Arabidopsis thaliana: one gene and its partners. The protein of the gene in region 1 interacts with the protein of each later gene in a pairwise test. Each region holds a gene or a part of one and is shown on either strand. Other genes may lie near its edges.

What was found.
Region 2: the proteins of CIPK22 (region 1) and RAP2.12 interact in binary tests that used the Arabidopsis thaliana proteins (3 or more experiments, as listed by UniProt).
Region 3: the proteins of CIPK22 (region 1) and COS1 interact in binary tests that used the Arabidopsis thaliana proteins (3 or more experiments, as listed by UniProt).
Region 4: the proteins of CIPK22 (region 1) and IAA11 interact in binary tests that used the Arabidopsis thaliana proteins (3 or more experiments, as listed by UniProt).

What each region holds. Positions count from the first base shown.
Region 1 is NC_003071.7:16,113,366-16,117,096, reverse strand, and holds CIPK22 (CBL-interacting Serine/Threonine-kinase), read left to right. Parts: upstream 1-1,892; coding exon 1,893-3,188; downstream 3,189-3,731.
Region 2 is NC_003070.9:20,132,978-20,137,514, reverse strand, and holds RAP2.12 (uncharacterized protein), read right to left. Parts: upstream 2,672-4,537; 5' UTR 2,274-2,671; coding exon 1,979-2,273; intron 1,716-1,978; coding exon 934-1,715; 3' UTR 502-933; downstream 1-501. UniProt on the Arabidopsis thaliana protein: Transcription factor involved in the activation of hypoxic gene expression and in ethylene response. Partially redundant with RAP2-2. Acts as a downstream regulator in the ethylene signaling pathway.
Region 3 is NC_003071.7:18,222,286-18,226,743, forward strand, and holds COS1 (6,7-dimethyl-8-ribityllumazine synthase / DMRL synthase / lumazine synthase / riboflavin synthase), read left to right. Parts: upstream 1-1,927; 5' UTR 1,928-2,018; coding exon 2,019-2,169; intron 2,170-2,256; coding exon 2,257-2,372; intron 2,373-2,508; coding exon 2,509-2,604; intron 2,605-2,680; coding exon 2,681-2,776; intron 2,777-2,919; coding exon 2,920-2,998; intron 2,999-3,238; coding exon 3,239-3,285; intron 3,286-3,383; coding exon 3,384-3,443; intron 3,444-3,593; coding exon 3,594-3,632; 3' UTR 3,633-3,948; downstream 3,949-4,458. Other genes in the region: AT2G44040 (Dihydrodipicolinate reductase, bacterial/plant), read right to left, coding at 79-188, 281-382, 485-559, 655-788, 989-1,226, 1,388-1,601, 1,700-1,713. UniProt on the Arabidopsis thaliana protein: Catalyzes the formation of 6,7-dimethyl-8-ribityllumazine by condensation of 5-amino-6-(D-ribitylamino)uracil with 3,4-dihydroxy-2-butanone 4-phosphate. This is the penultimate step in the biosynthesis of riboflavin.
Region 4 is NC_003075.7:14,140,421-14,144,527, forward strand, and holds IAA11 (indole-3-acetic acid inducible 11), read left to right. Parts: upstream 1-1,714; 5' UTR 1,715-1,867; coding exon 1,868-2,127; intron 2,128-2,581; coding exon 2,582-2,850; intron 2,851-2,942; coding exon 2,943-3,075; intron 3,076-3,166; coding exon 3,167-3,228; coding exon of another isoform or gene 3,229-3,257; exon of another isoform or gene 3,258-3,318; coding exon of another isoform or gene 3,319-3,323; coding exon 3,324-3,508; 3' UTR 3,509-3,549; downstream 3,550-4,107. Other genes in the region: ABCB23 (ABC transporter of the mitochondrion 1), read right to left, coding at 1-475; AT4G28650 (Leucine-rich repeat transmembrane protein kinase family protein), read right to left, coding at 3,735-4,107. UniProt on the Arabidopsis thaliana protein: Aux/IAA proteins are short-lived transcriptional factors that function as repressors of early auxin response genes at low auxin concentrations.

The DNA of each region.
Region 1 (3,731 bases):
GTTTTACAAACTTTGCTTCGTAGAGTTTTTTTAATAACATTTTTAAAGAAATCACACAATATATGACGATGCGTGAGAAAGAAGAAACGTCTTAAATTAAGAGTGAGGGTGGGTGTACGGACGATGTCGATGGCTGACGTACACCATCACGGTGGTAAAGACGGTGTCTCTTTGAAGTAGATGTCTTTATTCTTGATGACGATAACAATGAGAAGATCAATATTCAATAATAAAGCAATGGTGATGTATTTGTTTTTCAAAAGAATTGATGTTTTTAAATGGATCGATATAGCACATAAATAAGTTGACTTGGCGGTTGGGCATTATATTCGATGTGATGATTCGATGGTTGGTTTTTCCGGTTGGGTATGACTCCACAATGACGCCCGGATGTCATAGTCTAAATGACTGTGTGACCGTACGATAAAATCGAGATAACTTTTGAAGTTTGGTTGGGTATTACTGCCGACTGTTAGGTGTTAATTTTCATTCAGATAAAGTCAATAAACTAAAAGGCAAATAGATAGTAAATACCGTTACGAAAGCTAACACCTACATATTGGAACACATGAATGAATGAGCAAGAGTTGTTTTCTTTATTCGTTTTACTTTGTCGAGTTTTTGCTTTTGCATATTTCCTAATTCTTTTTTTAGAGGTTTCTTGTTTTTGGTCAAAAATTTACAGGTTTATGATAATGTTTTGAACAAGTTCACGTGTAAGGATTAATTTTTTGGCTTTTTCAACAACAAAAGGGGTACTAGTATGATTTTAATCCACACACGAATGACTTGGATCCACGAATCCAACTTCAAATTAATTATAAGAAAAACTTAATTTGCCCATCATTAATCCTTAGATAACAAAATTTCCAGCTATTAAAAAGTAATTATTATATGTGGCATTGAATTTCAAACAACATTCAAATTTAAATGTTATTATTTTGTCACTCAAATTTAAAGGTTATTTATTGACTGGATAATGTTCTTGGTTTGATTGGGTTGCTACGGTTGGATGCGGTTAAAGACCAACAATTTCATCAGAATTAAGGATGGTTGATTTGTACCCACGATATAACATTCGTGTCTAAACATCTTTACATGCACATGCAATGTTGCGAGATATAGTTCACATAAAATTTGGTCCGGTTCACTTGTCTTGATTTGGTTGTACACTTCTACCTGATGAATATATATTCTTATGTTTTAAGAACCAAATCATATCCTCAGAACTAAAGTACCATCTTAACCGGTAAAGAAGCTTAAAACATCGTCATGTATACTGCTTAGCATTCTATACAAAGTAACGTCAATCCACGTTGTTTTTTTCTTTCACATTATTCAAATATTTTTATATAGACGTTCTTTTTATTTTTGATAAAGTTTTTATTTTTGTCAACGATGAACGTTTAAAAAAAAAAAATATGTCGAGTTTTCCCAGCTCCTACAAAAACAAATAAATTAAGACTTTAAATCCCACCTGGAATTAGAAGGTTTTGGTTGACCTGACAAGGCAGATGTTTGGTAACAACAACATGAACCACACATTGGGGAAAGAATCATGAAAATTCCTTGAATCGTAAATTATTTCAGGAGAAAATGACTCTATCTCTAACCTGGTTGATATATCGCAACTAATTCAAATTAGTAAAAATCGAAAATGTTATCGCATTTTGAAATTGTCTTTTGTGAAGATTGTTTCTTTCATTTATTTGTTTAATGCATTTTATAATAAAGTCAAACTATTTTAAAATCTTTGTTTAAAATAATAGCTTACTTACGTGGCAAGTTGAGGAATTTCAATAAGAAGAGGCACCGCGCGCATGTCTTTTACAATTCCTAGACTGTTTCTCTTTACTCTGTTTTTTTGCTCTGTTTTTTTTGTTTGTTTGTTAATGGCCGAAGACTCTAATTCTTCCGAATCAATCATTGTTAACGTCACCGGAGATGATAATAAGTCGGCTTTGTTCGGTAAGTACGATCTCGGTAAGCTCCTCGGTAGCGGCGCGTTTGCCAAAGTCTACCAAGCGGAGGATCTTCAAAACGGCGGCGAAAGCGTTGCGATCAAAGTCGTACAAAAAAAACGTTTGAAAGACGGTTTAACGGCGCACGTTAAGAGAGAAATATCTGTCATGCGCCGCCTCCGTCATCCTCATATCGTGCTCCTCTCCGAAGTCCTCGCCACAAAGACGAAGATCTACTTCGTCATGGAGCTAGCCAAAGGTGGTGAGCTCTTCTCAAGAGTCACCAGCAACCGTTTCACAGAGAGTCTTAGCCGGAAATATTTCCGGCAATTGATCTCCGCCGTGAGATACTGCCACGCAAGAGGAGTTTTCCACCGTGATTTGAAGCCGGAGAATCTCCTCCTCGACGAGAATCGAGATCTGAAGGTTTCAGACTTCGGTCTCAGTGCGATGAAGGAGCAGATCCACCCCGACGGAATGCTACATACGCTCTGTGGAACTCCGGCTTACGTAGCACCGGAGCTTCTTTTGAAGAAAGGCTACGACGGTTCTAAAGCTGATATTTGGTCATGCGGCGTCGTTTTGTTTCTTCTCAACGCAGGCTACTTGCCGTTTCGTGATCCAAACATCATGGGACTCTACCGGAAAATCCACAAGGCTCAATACAAGTTACCGGATTGGACATCTTCAGATCTGCGGAAACTCCTCCGCCGTCTCTTGGAGCCAAATCCGGAACTGCGAATCACCGTGGAGGAGATTCTAAAGGATCCGTGGTTCAATCATGGAGTAGATCCAAGCGAAATCATCGGAATCCAAGCCGATGATTACGATCTGGAAGAAAACGGTAAAATTCTAAACGCGTTCGATTTGATTTCTTCGGCGTCGAGCTCGAATCTCTCCGGTTTGTTTGGAAATTTCGTGACGCCGGATCATTGCGACCAGTTTGTATCCGATGAGAGTACGGCCGTTATTATGAGGAAGGTCGAGGAAGTTGCGAAGCAGTTAAATTTGAGAATCGCGAAGAAGAAGGAGAGAGCGATAAAGCTTGAAGGTCCACATGGAGTAGCTAATGTCGTCGTTAAAGTTCGCCGGCTAACAAATGAACTAGTGATGGTGGAGATGAAGAACAAGCAAAGAGACGTGGGCTTGGTTTGGGCCGATGCTCTTAGACAAAAGTTACGTCGTTTGATTAACCAACCGGTTTATAAAGTTCCTGACAAACCGTAAAACGGTTTCAACACTAAACCAACAATCCGTGCGTTTTACTTTTAGAATTTTCAACGTACTACACTCGGGATCGAGACGCATTGTGGTTAACCGGTTCGGTTTACATTGGAGCAGGGAGAGTAATGGGACGATCCGCCTCTTTGTATATAAAAATGACAAGAAGAAAGAAAAAAACAAACCGGGATTCAATTATTTTTGTTTATTTATTTTCGGAGTATAATTTAAACACAAAAATTATTTGCTTTATTCATCGGAGAGAATTTGAATAAAACTCTGATTTGAACTTTGTAGCCTTTTATGTGTGACCGTGTGTGTTTGCAAACTTGGGCCTTATTTTGCGCTAAGGGACATGCTACACCGTTTGTAATATTTATCGTTGTTGATTTTGTTTGGCAATCGTACGAAGTATTTCAGGATCTTTTATGTATGAATGTTTATTTGAGTTTGTATTAAAAACATATATATGAATGTTACAGATTAACGAATAGTTGTCACTGCTGATTACCACTTGGCAATTCCGTTAAAACATGATTGGTATATATA
Region 2 (4,537 bases), on another chromosome or scaffold:
TTCTTCACAATAATAGGAGAAACCAAATGTTATGTCAAACTTGTCATCACACAACTCAAAGCACCTTGACACTTACATTTTGGGCTACATTTTGACAGTAATACGGTAACTAACAACAATTTATATGAAAAATCAGTAGATTAAATTACCAAATACATATAAATATGTTTCAGTAAAAAATAAAGAATGTGTGCTAATGCTTAGATATTTATACAGAGTGAAAATGACCTAAAGAAGCAGAACTGTCCAGAAGAGTTAATTTACTCTCTTTTATTTTCTGTTATCATAAGGAAACGGTCACGAGAAAGACACAAACTCACCAGTTACCACTTGCAAAAAGAGAGTTCAACCTTTAGAGATTCTTCTGTCGTTTAACGTCGTCGTTTCAACGTTTGTTCCCTCTAGATTCATTGTACCACAAAATAACAAAAGTGGCGCACTTCTCTAGGCAATCACTTTGATGATCAGTTGATCACCGCTTTTTTTCTGATCACAAATTTACGAGAACCGGTTTGGTTCAAACTTAGCTTGTGACTTCTTTGTTATGTTCAACAGTTCTCACATACTCTTAGTAGCATACAAAGAAGATTTATTTGATTAAACAGATGAGAGGTTCAAACACATTATGACAAATGTTAAAGGAGTTTTGGGGCATAAAGTAACAAAAACAAAACACAAACGAATTCAAAAGATTCACTAAAACAAAAACTACCACAACCCCTAAAAATAAGCCTCTACTTAACTTCATCACAACTACCCTCAAGATAGAGGCTCATGGCTTCTCGCAATGCAAACAGGAACTCCTGAGAGAGACAGACAGAGACAGCAGAAGAAGATGCAAGTAACAGACATTAGAAAGTTTTGGAGGTTGATAAACGAACGATGCGGGAAACTCACAAACATGCAGCCTTATTTACATGAAACTGGATCTCTTCAGAAGACTCCTCCAATCATGGAATGAATTTCATCAATACTCCATAGGTCCATAGGGTTTGCACCATTGTCCTGAGTCGTTACAGCATCTTCGTTGAGGAAATCCAGTGAAGCGTCCCATTCAGTGTTGTTGTAAGGTGTCTCGAAATCCATAGACTTGAGCTTCTTAGCTGGATTGGCTTCCTCAAAGAACAGAGCTGAGTTGTTGTTGTTGATAACCGCAGAAGAGATGTCGGGAGTTATCGGAGCTTGATCGCTCCAACCAAACTCCGAACAATCGAAAGAATTACTACCCTGGTCAGAGCTGAAATACTGATACCCATTACATCCAGCATCAACGGAGTTTGTCATCCCAAACTGGTTGTTGTTGTTGTTGCTCACTTGGTGTTTCTCCTCCATGAAACACATATTTTCAAAGGAGATGTTCGAGTTCTGAACCAAAGCTGGACTTGGGTTAGGGTTAGGTTTAGCCACTGGTTTCTGAAGATTAGCCTTCACAGAGCGTTTCTGAGAATTAGCCTTCATGTTTTCTTCAGGGAAATTCACCTTAGCTTTAGATCCACGGATTCTCCGCGCTGCAGCATCGTAAGCTCTAGCAGCTTCCTCAGCTGTCTTGAACGTTCCAAGCCAGATTCTAGCACCTTCCCTTGGATCACGTATCTCAGCAGCCCATTTTCCCCAAGGACGTTGCCTAATCCCTCGGTACTGATTCTTCCTCTTCCTATTTGCAGATTTCTCAGCGTCCCCATCCAAGCCAGTAACTTTCTTACCAAAAACTGAACCTAGTAGTGAAACAACAACAAAACAAAAGAGTTCTTCTATAAATAACTCATCAACAATCTCTAATCAAATCTCATCACACAAATCAAGTCTCATCACTCAACCTCATATGCATATAAATATCACACAAATCAAACCTCATGCTTTATACAACAATCAAAATCGTAAGCAGATAAAGGTATCTATGAACAGAGCTAAATAGAATCGAAACTTAATTTCTAACCAATTCAATCGCTCAAACTAAAGTCAATCCCTAAATATTTACCTTCCGCAGCGGCGGAGACGGCGGGTTTTGGAGTCGAAGTGAAAACGAATGGTTTCACATCGGCGAAAACATCACCGACGTCGAAATCATCATCGCAATCGATAGACGAATCATCTTTGAAACCTTGGAAATCAGCTTCGAACTCAGCGTCAAAATCGAAGAAATTCGAACGATTCTTCGAGCTTTTCTTCGATCCTTTCAAATTCTTCTTCAGATCCGGCCAAATAAACTCGCTAGTAACACGGCGAGACCTCGGCGGTGGAATGAAATCGGATATTATAGCTCCTCCACACATGGCGGCGATTCTTGAGGGTGTAAATGTTCGAAAACAGAATCTTAGCGGCGAAAATGGAAACTAATTGATACTTTTGGGGGTTATATCTTTGCTTCTTCTTCTCTCTTCAACGCTTTGCTTTGTTGTTTTCTTCAGAAAGAGATTTTAGAGTAAAATAAAAGATGAAGCGAGTACGATGGTTGTTTACTATTATACCCTTATCTTGATGTACTATTTACGGTACTACCAGACTTTTATATTCATTTACTGTAGATCTATATTGTAAATTAGGATTTTATTAGTTTATTAATAGTTAGTTGCAGTAAATAAGATTAAAAATTTAGTCAGAGTTGTCTGCTGGTAGACAAAAATAGTCTAAACAAATTTTTACCTAACGTCAATTGATTTTTTCATAAAGTCTATTTCCCTTAGATCTAGTATCTATTAATGTGATTAGGCATTAAAAACACAACTAAATACTTTTGCAATGTTGTTTGCATTCAGGAGTAGCCAACGCAGAACAGATATTTAACATTTAAATTTAAATAATATTATAAATGAATTATGAAAATGTTTTAACATAGGCACAAAATAAATGAATTATTGAAAATATAATGAAAAACTATACAACAACTTTTGAATGTAATTTTGATTAGGAGAGAGGACCATTAAGACCTTATGCTGTTATGCATAAGGCTAAAATTGTAAAAGCATAGAAACACATTTATGAATCTGCGTGTGCAGGACACGTACGATATTATTGAAGCTTTTTGAGCAAGTTGATAGGATTTGGTTTTTATGACAAAGCTTTTGTCGTTTCGTGACAAACAAAAAAGTTATTAAAAATAATCCGAAAAATATATTTGTCCTTTTGTTTGATAACTAGCATTCCAAATCAATTACTAGTTTTCTTAAACTCAATTTAAAATTTCCTTGTAATTCTGTTTACTCTTAACTAACTTTATTAGGTCCAAATTATCAGGCATCGTAAATTACGGAATATTCAGTAGGTATGTGTTATGTGTATGTGTACGTGGAAACCATATTTTGTTGTTTTATGGTGAAATATATTTTATGGTTGCAACTTTCTAAATTATGTATAAACAACTATTGGAAATTCAGTTAAAAGAAAATTTTATTTTATAAAATTCAACTTCATACGTGTATAGTTATACTACATATAATATATATATATATATATATATATATATATATTAGTGCAATCATGTACTATATATTTATATATTAAGATCAAATTGTGAACGCAAAGAAAGACAGATGAATAAAATAGGTAGGGTCCAAATCATTTTACAGGATTGAGACAAGTTCCTAAATTAGCTTATCTCAAAGAAACAGATAATGATGTCAATATGTCATTCATGGAGCAATTATTTGTTTCACTATTTTAACTTTTAATAATTGACTATACTCGTTTCGGAACTGTACATTAGTACAATTTCTTTGTGTTTATAGATATAAACCTTATGTTTTGTTTTTCTAACCAAATTTATAAGAAGCAAAACAAATTCCAGTAGTTGATTTTTTGTTCACTAACTGGAATTCTTAAATCTGAACATAACTTCTCATTAATTGGAATCATTGGATGGATACAAAGTGAAATCATTTTACACAAGGCAAGTTGTCTTTTTGGGCCGAATCGCTAAGATAGTGGGCTTCATAGGTCGAGTTATAGGCACTTGCATTTAGTTTAATTGATTGGCCTTTTAATTGGGCCGAGACCACGAACCTGCTTAGTTACTCGTGACAGTGTGACACTATAAAACAATAAATTAGTTGGGGAATTGGGTTGAACAAAGTGATCACTTGACAAGTAAAACAATAATTCCAATTGTTTAAAATACAGTATTTTGGCCTGTACATATTCAACACGTGACTAAATGAGTTGTTCATATCTTCTCAACCAAAGAGTGTCTATGTCCCTGTCACATACATTTAAAATATCTCCCATACATAAAAAAAAAAGAAGCAAATCGAATAATTTATTTATCAGAGAGATTTTCTTCTTTAAAATAATTCTTTATCCAGTTCATATCCATCATGTCACGATCCAATCTGAATATTAAAATGTTCTTCGAATTAATCAGATTTAGTTATGAAATATGAGTCATATCTCATATGACACTTTGTATCATTTAATTATCTCACTAATTAACGTGTGACTACAAGTAATCTTTATTTTTGGTCAACAGCTACAATTAACCTAACTAATTAATGAGCATTTTTACTAAATCAGTAATTAAACCACCTGAGAATGAGATCACCAC
Region 3 (4,458 bases), 2.1 Mb from region 1:
GGAGCTAGTTATGGAACAGAGACACTTTTACAATGGAAACAAAGAAAAGTATAAACAATATCTTAGATATTGCATTACGTTTCATCGGGTGATGTCAAGTGATAAAGATGGAAAGCGTGACCAGAGATATGCTCCTCAGGTACACCCACCATCTCCACTTGCTGTTTTGGATCCCGAATCAATTGTATCTGCCACAAAAGTTGTATACACAGAAAATTCACATTCCGAGGATAAATTAAGTGATTGCCAAGATGTAAACAATAAAGGATGACCAATGCACCTGATCCATGTCGTAAGACACACCCAATTCCTGGAAGCAAGAAATAACAGCTTTTGCTGTTCCGGATGCATCCAATTTGCTAGCTTGATGAGACTCCATCACCTACATATAGATTGGCAGTTGATTAGATGTAGCAAGAAGTAATATAAAACTAACAGAGAAAGAAAAAAGAATTTGAATGTATAAAAGAAGTAAGAAAAGTACATCCAAGGAATAACCAGAAAAGGCTCCCGGAAACTGCTCAGCCATGATCTCCATGGCCGCAAGAAATGCTACAACCTATAGACCAACAAAGCACACAAATATGAGCAAAAATGATCTTAACTTACATGCATAAGTAATCATTTCTTCCAGAAACATTCAAGTACACATACCTGTTTACCCATCTGTGGAGAAATCACAGCATAAATCTTTGCTTCCTCAACAGTTTCATACAATTTGTTCCTATCTCCACCAGTTGTTCCCATGACGAAAGGAACACCTACTTTGCTATACAGCTCCGCATTATCTACATTTTGCGAGAATACCAAACTTGAAATCAACAAACAATAGACAAAAAAAACACTTCTAGCAGATGATTTTCACTTGCACAAATTCTAAACTAACTCAATCAAGGATCGTTCCGCCAACCAGAATTCAACCATAACTTCAACAAATCTAGAATACAATTGTCTTTTGATGGTAGAAATGAGAGATTCTGAAGTTTACCATTTACTGCAGAGGGAATTGTGTAGTCGACAACAATTAGCTCCGGGTGCTTCTCAAACACCGAAGAAAGAACCTTTTCTCTTTCAGTTGGACCGTGCACAGTAATCTCCTTTCCACAGACCTCAACTCTCTGACCATCCTCACCAGCAGATCCAAACGATATGGGAACAATATTTACTCCTGCAGAGTCTGCTGCTTTAATTACAGCTTTCCCCATTTTGCCACTACATCCATTCACCTGTAGAATAAGAGATAATGAATATAGCTAAATCCAACATAAAAATCCCCATTTCAAAAGGAACAAGCTTTGACATTTCTACATTTCAAACTTAAATGGTAATGCAAAGTCAAATCTCACAACTTTGAGTCTAAGAGAAATCATCAGATGATCAGGTTTACCATGATGGATATGCCATTTCCAGGCAAAACAGATTTCACGGCCTCCTCACCGGAATCCGCCATCGCCGTCATGGATAAAACCACCGGAAGACGACGTGTCCCAATGCCCATGAAACTAACACGGCCTTTACCGTATTTTCCTACAGTCTGATTCGTTCTAGAAGCAAATGCGATACGCGGGCGATGAAGAAACACACTGGACGACGCCATTAACCTGTGATCAAATCGTTTAAATTCAATAGAATCCTCTTAAAGAGTTTAAAGCTCATCTCCGTCAATCAAAACGTGAAATTCGTAGGTTTCGAAACGTACCCATTCGTAGCCATAAAGGAATTTACTCTCCAGGATACGGAAGTTTTGTTCTTTGTTACGACGGAGTCAAAAGTTTAAATCTTTCACTTTTGTCTGAAAATTTCCGGCCGGTGAGAGTGATTGGGGATGTAGGGTTTAGCTTATCCCTTTTCATCAAACCGGAAATCTCTAACCAAACTAATAGATTCAATGAAACCGTAATTTTAATGAAAATAATAAACCGGAAGCCTTGAACCGATTTGATAAGCTAATGGACCTCACAGTCTCACTCTTAACCTGAAGAACGAAGAACCGTCTCTAAAACTCCGACGAACGAAAAATGAAGTCATTAGCTTCGCCGCCGTGTCTCCGCCTGATACCGACGGCACACCGTCAGCTCAATTCGCGTCAATCTTCCTCCGCCTGTTATATACACGGTGGCTCTTCTGTGAACAAATCCAATAATCTCTCATTCTCCTCATCCACATCCGGTAAGCTTGCTTTCTCTCACTTCTCTTATAATAACTCAAATCGTTTTTTCGCAATTTCGTGATTGAGATGTTAACATTTGGTGTTAGGATTTGCGTCACCACTAGCTGTAGAGAAGGAATTACGCTCTTCATTCGTACAGACGGCTGCTGTTCGCCATGTTACGGGGTCTCTTATCAGAGGCGAAGGTCTTAGATTCGCCATCGTGAGTTCTCAGAATCGCTTTCTTACTTTGTGCGCTGCTTAGATTTAGTGACTTGGTTCTGATTTACAGTGAAATTTGAAAACTTTGAGCTCAATTGCAGTGTTGACTTGGTTCTGATTCATTTTTCTTTCTCAAGGTGGTAGCTCGTTTCAATGAGGTTGTGACTAAGTTGCTTTTGGAAGGAGCGATTGAGACTTTCAAGAAGTATTCAGTCAGAGAAGAAGACATTGAAGTAAAAGTCTTTTGCTTGTAGAACAGAATAAAAAGTTATGAGCTTTCACAAAGCTAATGACACTGTTTTTATTCAGGTTATTTGGGTTCCTGGCAGCTTTGAAATTGGTGTTGTTGCACAAAATCTTGGGAAATCGGGAAAATTTCATGCTGTTTTATGTATCGGCGCTGTGGTATGATTCTTGTTTTGAAAGAATCTCAGGCTATTCCATTTGTTTTTCTCCTCATATGGCTTCAGAAAGTAGTTGCTTTATGTTGATAACATATACTTAAAGAGTTGGATTTTGATATTACTGTTGTCCTTGTTGTGGTTTAGATAAGAGGAGATACCACACATTATGATGCTGTTGCCAACTCTGCTGCGTCTGGAGTACTTTCTGCTAGCATAAATTCAGGTTTACCTCGATACTTATTTGCTGGATATACATCTTTAGACATTTTTATTTGACATTGTTTTGGAAACACTGAAAGATTGATTTTGTATACTTCCGAACCTAAAAGAGCGGGTAGTTCATTTTTGCTTTTCTTTGGATTTTGGATGTTTAAATTCCCTCATCATGAATTACTTCTTCAAATTTTGTGTTTACGCACTATTGACTCTAGTAATTAAAGCTTATAAAAAATCCAATTTGCAGGCGTTCCATGCATATTTGGTGTACTGACTTGCGAGGACATGGATCAGGTTTAAGTTGTGTTATGCAAGAGTTGATGATATATAGCTTATTCATCATAATGGATGAACACTGAATTTGTTAATATTGTGGTTAACTGAAACTCTAGGCTCTGAATCGATCTGGTGGCAAAGCCGGCAATAAGGGAGCTGAAACTGCTTTGACGGCGGTAAGTATCATTATGATTCAATCCTTTATTGTTAGAATAAGATGTAGAAATTCCTGATCATTCCATTGAGCAACTGGTCATGTTATAACCATTCGGGTTCTTATGTCTTTTTGGTAAAGTCTTTGAATATTTCTTCCTCTTGTTTTTCAGCTCGAAATGGCGTCGTTGTTTGAGCACCACCTGAAATAGCTCGGCTCGTTCGATGGATGAACATGATCACGTATGAGAACCTCTTGATGTTGTCCCATTTGGTTACAATCCAGTCTCTGAAATTGTTTGTACCTCAAAGATTGTCAAAATGTTTTACCCTTGGTTACAAAATCATTTAAACGCTTTTGTAAGCTTCTGGCCTTGTTTTTTTTTTTTGAATCGTATGATAATAATAATTCCTCCGAATTTTGGGGGTCTTTCTGTACTAATCAAAAATGTGATCTTCTTTGTTGTAATATCTTGAAATTGAGGTGTCGAAATGGATGTCAATTTTAAAAGCCAATAAGGATCTTACACGACGAAAATTTTGTCGGCGAGCGAAGATTACGCGTCACATTGATAATAGTTAATATAAAGTTCAACGGATCAACCAATTCCACAATCTATAATCATTTTGTGACTCTTGGAGCACTCTCTTCTCTTTGTCTCTGTGACTCACATTCATCCAATCCAGGTAAAAATCAAATCCACTAAGTTTTATTTCTCTTCATTGTTGTTCTTGCGTTGATCCTTCATGATTTGATCGGAATACATGGAAAAAGGTGGTGTAATTAGATCGAGCTTTTTGTTTCTCCGATCTGTTTGACATTTAGGTTGATCTAGTGCTATCATGTGTAGATCGAACATTCGGATCTGTATTTCCCACGAATCCTCTTGATTCACGTGATATGATCATTGTCTCTTAGTACAGAGATGCATTGTATGTTCTTTGGTTTGGGATATTCCACTAGGATCCTAGTTGATGATATCTAATGTGATGCGAGTTCTCTATGGTCTTTGGTGAGAAACTTTGTTTTGGTGATTA
Region 4 (4,107 bases), on another chromosome or scaffold:
CAATGAGAACGGAAGAAGGAGTAGCGAAAGCAGCAAGTAGATAAGGATTTGAATCAGTGATTGTTGAAGATGAATATGAAGAGAGTAAATCGATAGATAATTTGAAGAGGAAAGGAACTTGAACATTCAAGAACTTAGCTCCTATGAGACACGCTAAAGCAGCGATGACTCTGAATCGGAGTTCTGGGTTGTCTTTCATCCATAGATAGCTTGAAATCGTGCGGAGGATCTTCTTAGATGATGCTGTTTTGGTTTGATCTTGATTTGGAGTTGAAGTTGAAGTTGAGAAGAAGAAGACTCGTGCGTTGACTGGAGATGGAGATGGAGATGGATCGGTGAAGAATGCATTGATAGCTGGTGATCTCTGAATTGAGCTACGTTTGATAAAACTGGAGAAACTGTGATGGTGATGATCAGAGCGAAGACGGTGATACAGAGAAGCGCGAGAGAGGAGAAACCGAGATCCCCTCATCATCGCTTCTTGTCCGAACGAATCACATACAATTTGGTCTAAATCGATTCTTTAATTCTCTGTTTTGTTCTCTCTGTACTACAGAGTAGCTTAACAAGAAGACGAGGAAGAAGATATCAACTCGGAAATAACCGGTTTTGGTTTTCTGTTTTTATTAAGATAATGAAATTAGCTATCTCGGAGATAACCGGTACTGGTTTGATTGCAACTGGGCTTGAGAGAATCAGATACGGTGGTACACACCGCAGCGAATCTCAGAGTATTCATTCTCTCACATGGACTCTTTCGAAAATTCAACTCTTCTACTATATGCAATTAATTAAAAAATTGAACGGTTTATTTGGAAAGTGAAAAGAAGCAACGGTCGGTTATGTCTTCCCTCCAGACGACAGGGTTTTTATTCGGACACCACTAAAAATGGACAGCTAAACTCCTTTATTGCCTTAAAAATTCAATTTTAATTACGTGATTAAAGATTAGATTGCCACTTGATTTTAAAATACTAATTAAACCTATATAGTGATGGTATCTAACTATCAATAGCTTTAAACCGGAACTAATCAGCACCGTCCGATTTGGAAAGATGGATGGACCAAAGGACGTGTGGGCACGAGTCCCCCCTCTCTGTACACGTGGGTCCCACTAAGCCTTCTAAGTAATCTTTTTCTAGCCGTCCGATTGAATCCCATGAAGCTGACATGTGAGCCCCCACTTCTTGAAAATATATATTTGTATGAATTTTGTTTTTATTTTATTTTCCAGCCTTTTAAAAATGTTTTTATTAATACCACGGATACTACCGTTTTGATATCAAATTTTCTTTGAAATCTATCCGATCTTATATCAGATTTTGGAGTCAAATACCAACTACAAAAATCTGAACATTAATACAATAATATACATTTTGAAAAATCATGTTGTCCATTATATTTTTTGGCATCTAATCCTATCGTTAATTGATTATAAGTTTATAAATATATTACAACGGAATTTCGCATAATTGTAAAACTTCCCTATATAAACTTACGAAAAATTGAAATAATTATACCAAAAGTCCACATATTTTATTTTAAAAACTTACATAAGTGGATATTGTTAAAAGAAGGAAAAAAAAAGAGTTTCTAGTAAATATAGTCACGGAATAATGTGAGAAATTTATTATTGGATCAAAAAAATGATAAAATTGGGCGAGAAATAAGACTAAAAGTTAGGGAAGTGAAAAAGAGACAAATCCCACCCGTCGTGTCTTCTTGTTCATCCTTTGTTTCCCTTTTTCTTTCTCACTGTTTCTGCCTTACTTAAAGTCTCAATCTTTGCTTCAAATTCAACCCATCTCTTTTTCCTCCCTTCCCTCACAATCAAAATCTTAATTCTCAGCTTCTGGTTTTGTCGAAAATGGAAGGCGGTTCCGCTAGTGGATCGGCTTCGGCTTTGTCAAACGATGAAAATCTCGTCGTTTCTTGTGAGGATTCTTCTTCTCCTATAGGGAATGAGCTTGAGCTTGGTCTTACGTTGAGCCTTGGTCGCAAAGGGTATCGAGATTGTAGGGTTTACGCTGATGATTCTTCTTCTTCTTCATCATCTTCTTCTCTGAGCAGAGCTAGCGTAATTGCTGGGATCAAGAGGACAGCTGATTCCATGGCTGCAACTAGTGGGTGAGTGAAATTCTCTTCCCTTTCCTCTTTTACATTTTGATCAATTATGGTTTATTTGGGGATTCTTAATATCATGATTATCAATAGAACTATAAATAAAGATTTGATTTTTGCTTTTTATGGTTATGGGATTGATTAGACAGAATGTCCTTGATCACAGTTATCTGAAAAGATTCGACCTTTGTTACGTATAGATGACTTTGAATGTATCTTCCTGATCATTAGATAGTTTGCTTTGGTCATTATATCTTCAAATTGAATCTTACTATCGTTTTCTAGAGATGACAGTTTTTTTCTTCTTGGATTCTAAAGTATTTATTAGCTTTGGAGAGAAAGTGATTAATCCTGTATAGTGATTCTCTTGGTATCTGATTTTACAAGGCCCTGAAGTGTTTATAACCCTTTTTATGTGTTTACTCTTATTTGAGCAATTTGAAACCTTTGAAAATGGCAGGCAAGTTGTGGGATGGCCACCAATAAGGACTTACAGAATGAACAGTATGGTTAACCAAGCTAAGGCTTCAGCCACTGAAGATCCGAACTTGGAGATAAGTCAAGCCGTAAACAAGAATAGAAGTGATTCAACAAAGATGAGAAATTCCATGTTTGTTAAGGTGACTATGGATGGCATTCCTATTGGAAGGAAAATCGATCTGAATGCTCATAAATGCTATGAATCATTGTCAAACACTCTAGAGGAAATGTTTCTGAAACCTAAATTAGGTGTGCTTTTCGAATCTCATGGCCTTTTTTTTGGTTCCTTTGAAGTTGGTTCTTGGTATGGGAAATGAAGTTATGATTCTTTCTTTAATCAGGTTCACGCACACTAGAAACCGATGGTCACATGGAAACACCGGTCAAGATACTACCAGATGGGTCTTCCGGATTAGTACTAACGTATGAAGACAAGGAAGGAGATTGGATGCTTGTTGGCGATGTTCCGTGGGGGTATGCATACATATGTTCTTATGCTTTTGATGCTTTGTCCCGTGTAAGCGTCAAATTCTGAAGTTTGAACCTGAGTTTTACTTGTGTCTAGGATGTTTATTGGTTCAGTGAGAAGGCTCCGGATAATGAAAACATCGGAGGCTACTGGTAAAGGTACATTTACTGATTCGATCAAATCCTGATATCTGTATTAAAATCATTGTTTTGTCGTTGTGACCGTGTTTGTGTGATCCTTGTTTACAGCTCAGATGATATTATGAAGCAAATAATAATCTACGAAGAACCCTTTATGTTTGAAGCAGTAATAAGACAGATCACAGATCAAAGAGAAGACAAAAACATTGTAAGAAGCTTCTTCTTCTTCTCTCCCCTTTACAGTTTCTTTTTTGGCTCTGCCATTTTTCTTTTAGTTAGTTATATGTTCTCTTTGTAAATCACACTTTAAAAATCTATAAGAAAACCCTTTCTTGCACAAAAACAAAACGGTTCAGAGCAATGCACAAAGTTAATATGATCATGTAAAACAAAGGAAACTTATTCTACATGGAAAAATTAAATCAAAAGATACATATCTCTCTCTCTTTCTCTCTTTCTTCTACATACAGAACACGAATCGAACGAATCAGTTTATCGGCCTCTTTTGATTCTTAAATCTCATACTAAAGAAGGCCATTTACAGGTGAAGTACTAAAAACCGATGAATGTTTCTCGGCCAAGCTACGACTAGTGTTCTCTTCATTACTATTACTTTTCCTCCTCGGTTTAGCCTCTCCGAGCATCGATATCACATCTCTCATCGAAGGTCTGTCTTTCGGGAGCTTTGTAGTGCAGAGAAGAGCAATCTGTAGAACTAAAAGCATCTCTTCTTGCACATATCTGCAGTTTCCTACGTTAGGATCTAATGCTTCTTCTAGTGATATGTTGTCTCTTATCTTCCTTCTCACCCACTCCACAATGTCTACTGATTCTCCAAACTCCGGTTCCAATGGTCTTCTTCCGGTTAACAGCTCCAATAGTACGACGCCGTAGCTG